Linked DNA regions of Danio rerio. The protein of the gene in region 2 purifies or fractionates together with the protein of the main gene of each other region. This does not show direct contact. Links are inferred from orthologs where the notes say so. Each region holds a gene or a part of one and is shown on either strand. Other genes may lie near its edges.

What was found. The genes of interacting proteins can lie anywhere in the genome.
Region 1: the proteins of c1d (region 2) and mphosph6 purify together in Homo sapiens (co-immunoprecipitation; 3 studies listed by BioGRID and IntAct, counting the BioPlex papers as one, with this or other methods). This does not show direct contact. The link is inferred for Danio rerio from reciprocal best matches to the Homo sapiens genes C1D and MPHOSPH6.

The regions. Positions count from the first base shown.
Region 1 is NC_133200.1:38,538,585-38,541,592, forward strand, and holds the end of mphosph6 (M-phase phosphoprotein 6), read right to left. Parts: intron 2,693-3,008; exon of another isoform or gene 2,641-2,692; coding exon of another isoform or gene 2,594-2,640; coding exon 2,503-2,593; intron 2,148-2,502; coding exon 2,038-2,147; intron 1,342-2,037; coding exon 1,200-1,341; 3' UTR 501-1,199; downstream 1-500. UniProt on the Homo sapiens protein: RNA-binding protein that associates with the RNA exosome complex. Involved in the 3'-processing of the 7S pre-RNA to the mature 5.8S rRNA and play a role in recruiting the RNA exosome complex to pre-rRNA; this function may include C1D.
Region 2 is NC_133188.1:5,050,394-5,054,330, reverse strand, and holds the start of c1d (nuclear nucleic acid-binding protein C1D), read right to left. Parts: upstream 2,801-3,937; 5' UTR 2,280-2,800; intron 2,225-2,279; exon of another isoform or gene 1,997-2,224; intron 1,835-1,996; exon of another isoform or gene 1,748-1,834; intron 1,108-1,747; exon of another isoform or gene 735-1,107; intron 286-734; 5' UTR 276-285; coding exon 138-275; intron 55-137; coding exon 1-54. UniProt on the Homo sapiens protein: Plays a role in the recruitment of the RNA exosome complex to pre-rRNA to mediate the 3'-5' end processing of the 5.8S rRNA; this function may include MPHOSPH6.

The DNA.
Region 1 (3,008 bases), on a different chromosome or scaffold from region 2:
TCTGTACATCGCTGCATTCATCTTTCCCTCTATCCTGACTAGTCTTCCAGTTCCTGCTGCTGAAACACATCCCCACAGCATGACGTTCAATTTTAGTCTCAGAGCAGAGAGTTTAGTTTCTGATGCTCTGAGAGTCCTTCACATTGGTAAACTCCAGGCGGGGAGTGTCTTCCGTCTGGTCACTCTACCATACAGGCCTGATTGGTGGATTGCTGCACAGATAGTTGTCCTTCTGTAAGGTTCTCTTCTCTCCACAGAAGAACGCTGGAGCTCAGACAGAGTGACCATCGGGTTATTGATCACCTCCCTGACTAAGGCCATTCTCCCCCGATCACTCAGCTTACATGGCCGAGGTTCAGCGAAAGGCTGTGAATACTGATGTACACGTGATTTTACAGCTTTTTTATTTTCAATAAATTTGCAACAATTTTAAAAACTTTTTCACATTGTCATTCTGGGGGATTGTGAGTAGAATGTTGAGGAAATAAATTGATTTAATTCATTTTTGCATAAGGCTGTGACATAAAAAGTGGAAAAAGCGCTATCAATATTGTCTAAATGCACTGTATGTCATTGGGGTGATTGGGGAGAAAGAGTTATCAGCGTTTTTTTTTCCCTGTTGTAAAGTCATGCTGTGCGTAATTTCCTGTCACTGATCCATTATACAATGTGAACACAGCAGCAATGGATTTTGACCCCAGATAGTCGTGCAATGTCAATATTAAATAACTGTTCGAATGTTGAATTATGCTATAGTAAGTTCTGCAGTCTTTTTTACACTATGAATAACCTTTTTTTAACATTTCCAACACAATCTCATCAATCTGACTTTCTGACTCATGAATATATTGTTTCTGTGAGAGAGCAGATTTCACTCTACAGCATATCGTCTAAACAGCATATTGGTTAAGTGTCATTAATGTGATTCTCTCTTAATGATTATTTAAAAACAACATGGAAGTTCTACACATCATTTTTTAAAGAATTGGTTAAGAAACTCTGGTCAGGATCTACTACGCTTTTCAACGATGGTACATTTAATTGTCAAAAAACCCCTTAGTGCACCATCCACTAGTGCTTTTCCCATAAAAGACAGTCTTTTAACAATGCATTTGTTGTTACCAAACAGAAAAAAATACTACTAATAAAAAAAGAAGTCCATTGCATAAAAAATAAAGCATTTACAGATTTAAAATGTCTCAGTCCTGTGGCTTCATGAAAGCTCGTTTGGGTCTAATATCATCAGTGACGTTGCAGTTGACATCCTCTTTGTTTGAGACAGCACTGCGATCTCTTTTCTTGGCGAACTTTTTCCTCATGCTCTCAACCAAACTTTGATACCTGTAAAACAAAAGCAAAAATCAAGGTTTTCATCTGCTGGTGATGTCCACATTCGAAACCATTACAATTTTGTTTCGAACCAGTGGTTTCGGTGCGCATTTCCAATTGGCAAGGTCACAGGATTTCATTCAAATTGAGCTTCGTTATGGTCAATATGGTTTCGAAATTGCTTCCCCACAAGGGGGCGATCTGTGCAATATAAAATCTACAAGAATCACGCAGATTCATTCAGGTCGCCCCCCAGTGGCCAATCACTGAACAGGTTTCACTGATTGATCTCGGATTAGTTTTACAAATTTTGTTAAATATTTTAAGGAGATGTGTATAAAATGAAAAGGAGTAATGGTTAAAAGTAGCTAATAGTCTCCTCCTGGCCTGTTTAGCAGTTTAACAAGCAATATATAAGCCTTGAAAACATCTAAATGAAAGAACATTATGCAGAGACTTAACATTTAATGATCTTAGATGACGAGCCAAGTTTATTTATAGGTTAAACTTTCAATTTTAATATGTTTGGGAGTCAATTCTAATGCATCTTTTGTTTGAGTGTTGACCAGCAGGGGTTTCTAGCATGTGCGGTTTCGAATTGCTTTAGCGAAGTAATTGGTAAAATTGTTTAGACGCTTCATTTCATCACTATCCTCGTATATATATATAACAGATGTGTAGATTACAGATGTATTTGTCCTTGCTCACCTTTTGGCCATCTCTTCATCCGTAATATCGGTTTCCATTTTGTTCATGCTCTCGTCCTCCTCTTCTTCATCCTCTTCCTCTCTTGGTGCGTTCATTAGTAACATTAATTTCTGCAACAGATTCAGACTTGTGATGAATAAACCCCACTTTAGATTACAGGTGGCTATCAGTGGCTATAATTAGAGCAAGACGTGCATTTTCAGCTCATTGTTAAAGGCACAGTATGTAAATTTAGCCACTAGAGGGCGTGTATTCACAACAAACAAAGGTGTGTTTTGATGACTGAGTGAAAAATAAAGATATAATAAACTGTTCAAGTGGCTTTTGAATATGTTAATACAAATAAAATCATACATATTGTGCCTTTAGCTTATTCTTCAGATTATGCTCCAATAACGTGAACACAATAATTGAGAACAGTTAACAAAACGGAAGCAAACGGCTGTAAACGGATGAAAGCTGTACCTCCACGTCAGGATTGAAGCCTTTGAATGACATTCTGCCGTAAACCAGATCCTCACAGGGAACGAAACTTCTCTCCTCGATGATGTGGTTTCTGGCAAAGTTAAAAATACCTTGTAATTTTGTCAATTTAAGAGACATTTTGATAAACCATCAGATATCCATAAGGCAACGAATATTTGCTAATGTCAGACTGCATTAGAACTAGAATCATTTTTAATGGGGTACATGCATTAGGACTTTCATTTTAAAGTGTCCTGGTTCAAACGCTGTATGCTAGGGCTGTGCAATTTGGGGAAAATATCTTAATTGCAAAATTTTTTTAACAGATATTTAGATTTGATTTGCAATTTAATATTGTAGACATTTTAGGTACTGGTTGTATTTCCTCATGCCTGCAACAATCCTGCGGCAGCTCTTACAAATAACCTTTTTTTGTTTGGTGTCTGTGAACAAAATATTCCCATATCACTGACGTGCGTTTTTTTCTTTAATAATATTTAGTCTAT
Region 2 (3,937 bases):
GTTGAGGGCGTATGCCGACATCAGATCCAGTTTAGCTTGTTCAAGAGGATCCAACTTTATGAAGTAAAAAACAGGTTAAACATGATAGTTAAGCCATTTTCATTTATCAGCTTTTCATATAAACATTTTATACATACTTTAAGCAGACGGTCACTTCTGGATACAGACACCAGTGTCTGGACCATATTCTGGACAGAGCTCAAAGAAGAGTCGAAATCATTCAGGTTGTCTTCGATTTCAGTGGGATAATCCTCTACTGCAGCATCATCAGCCATGGTCTGTCAGCTGAATGGTAACATAAGAATATATTAATAAAAACCATTTAAGATAATTCATGATTCCTGCAAACTTTGGCCTAAAAAAACAGTAATTAATATGCGTTTTGAAATGACGGATCTAAGCATAACTGCTAAATTAAACCGTTTTGTTATTTTTGGGGATTTGTAGTCAATATTATTGAGGTAAAGTTGTTTTTTTATTCACACATTCAGACTTTCTTCTTAATAATATATTTTCAGAAAAATATTATTTGCTATTTCTAAATAGGGAGATCACATTATCAGCCAATGACTCTCAAAATACAACATTGTTCACCAAGTTAAATCGTGCAAATGTTGTTTTGAACTTGAAGTCATACTTAAATGAGATTTCAGACCGAATATTTAAAGTAACATGGCGAACTATGTAGAGACTGTTAAAAATGAACTAATGTGCGAATATAACCCCAACTTTACCTAAAAATCGATATTTGGCTGTTAGGAAAACGAGGGAAAATGCTTCAGAATTCAGTTGTGGACAGCAGATACATATTAAAAAGCAGTAAGTTACCAAATTAATAAGAAGTACAATACATATATATTTCTAACAACTGTGCAAATTCAGCATGAGCGACAATATGGAGATTAAGCTTTATGCACGTGTTCAGTGTCTGCGAGTTATAATCGCACACTTGTTGTCCTGTGTTGTAAAGAAAACCCTGAGACAGCTTACTAAACACAAAATCAACGTAAAATTACATATGAAGTTCGTTTAGGTTGTTTAAGAGAGCTATAATGTAATCAAGCACACATCAATACCTCTCCGTTGAGCCAAGAATAAATAAGCGACGGTCAATACACTTGTTTTTCAAAATAAAAGTCACGCGAAAAACATTTATTTTTCTTTATCTTTAATGGCGACTAGCATTATCGCCACCTAACGGACTGGGGGTCAGTTTAAACTTGCACAGTTTTTTGTTATTTTCATTGTGCAACAAAATCATTTCACATTCGTTAACAAGAAGGATTAAAAGAGAAAAGAAAACATTTAAATAAATAAAAATATTAACTAAAAAGGAGGAGAGGGTACATATCAGATTACATACAAATATACAGTTTAATGCATGGTAGATTTAGTTATTAACAAAAGTTATTCAATTTAACTTTCATTAAAGATAAGTCTGAAAATCTAATCTATCTATCTATCTATCTATCTATCTATCTATCTATCTATCTATCTATCTATCTATCTATCTATCTATCTAGTTAAAATTAGTACGTTGTTATATATATATATATATATATAATATATTATATATATTTTTTTCCTTTTTAATTCACTTACTGAGCCTTTTTTTCTTTATTGATTTTCAGGTGCTTTGAGAAATCCCCTGCTTTGCTTACATGCCTTTTAACGTGTCACGAGACTTTTAATTTGAAGTAGTGCTATTCATGTTTGGCAAGAGTCCAGTACACTAATGTGTTGTTGTGTACTTCTCAAAACGGTCATCCTCCCTACTGTTATTGTTTATCTGAGGAGCTTCTACAAGATGAATTTAGCTAAAAATAAATTATTGGTGAGTATACCTACGTGAATATTCAGTTAAAGTTGTCGTTACGCTGTTATTACAGTTCAGTCTTTTCTGTCAGGTTTGAATGAATAACTTGATATACATTTATAAAAGTCATGTACAGTCAGCTGATAGCGATATCGTATAAACACGAGACTTCTACGTTACCTGTAGTGATACTGTCGTTAAAGCCGTTTAACAGCTGTAAGTTACGTGTATTATTATTGTTATTAATACATACTGTAATACTGTAGCTAAACGTTGAGTCACATTTGTTTTCTTGGTTGTACAGATTTTGTCACACATAAAAAAACACACTCTCCTATAAGTTACTTCCTTTCTCTTTCTCTGACGACAAGCGCAAAACACTACAAAGTAACTAGTAACTGTAATTACATATCCAATTTCGTGAAAAAAATAGTTTTTTTGGTTATTTAATAAAGTTACTCACGATGTGCTTTCCTTGAGTGCTGTAAATCAATTCAGAGAAGATTTTTTTCAGGAGTTTGTTGTTGTTGTTGTTGTTGTTCTACTATCAATTATGGAAGTTTTATTTGTTTAACCACTTCACATGCGGAAGAAACAATAAGTAATACATTATTTACTGACAGAAATACATGGTATTTATGAAGTATGACTCCATTGCGTTTTATACAAATAATGTTCAATAAGTTAATTTAAGTTATGTGTATACATCATTATTCAGACAAATTAAATAGAAATCTAATCTAAATAAATTTTCAATGATGTAATTAGCAATTAATTACTTTTTAATTACATTTTTTATTTCCTAATATATATATTTTTTGTTTACAGGAACATCACTCATTAATCCATTAATTAACAATCTCTATAGTTTTAAACATTTTTCGAGTTTCAAAGGAAAAAAAAAGTTTTTTAAAAGAAAATAAAATCCTAACGCTAAAGCCAGACATCTGAATATTTATAAGATGCAACACACTCAATCCATGTGCCATTTCAAGTTTTATTAATAAAATCATTCATTTATAATATGAACCATGTAAAAATAATATTTAAAACAAGTTTTTTGCTTTTTATCTCTGAAGAGGTAATTTGCAAGAACTCTATTCTGGAAACATTCACAACTATTTGTGAATATATATATATATATATATATATATATATATATATATATATATATATATATATATATATATATATATATATATATATATATATATATATATATATATATAAAAATAATAAAAATATAAGGATGTTATAAATACAGGTCACAAAAAAATTTCACCCCAAAAAAAAAAAATAAATAAATAAATAAATAAATAAATATATATATATATATATATATATATATATATATATATATATATATATATATATATATATATATATATATATATATAAATTATTATTGTACTTTATTATATTATGTTATATTATATTATATTATATTATATTATATTATATTATATTATATTATATGTTATATTTACAATTTACAGTTCATTAAAAGTTTTATCATAAAATCAAAATGTAGTGTAATACATTATTATAACAAAATTTATTTGTATATATATATATATATATATATATATATATATATATATATATATATATATATATATATATATATATATATATATATATATATATATAAATTTACAGTTTGGATGGCATGGTGGCTCATTGGTTAGCACTGTTGCCTGACAGCAAGATGGTCGCTGGTTCGAGTCCCAGCTAAGCCATTTCTGTGTGGAGTTTGCATGTTCTCCCGGTGTTAGTGTGGGTTTCCTCCAGATGCTCTGGTTTCCCCCACAGTTCAAACACATGCGCTATAGGAGAATTAAATAAACTAAATTGGCCGTAGTGTATGAGTGTGTGTGAATGTGAGAGTGTGTTTCTCAGTACTAGGTTGAGGCTGGAAGGGCATCCGCTGCGTAAAACATATACCGGAATAGTTGGCGGTTCATTCCGCTGTGGCAAGCCCTGATAAATAAGGGACGAAGCTGAAGGAAAATGAATGAATGAAATTACAGTTTATCACAAATGTTCTTTCAAAACACAGAAAATGTATTAAAGTGTAATATATAAAATATTTTATAGTATATTATATCATATTAATATAAT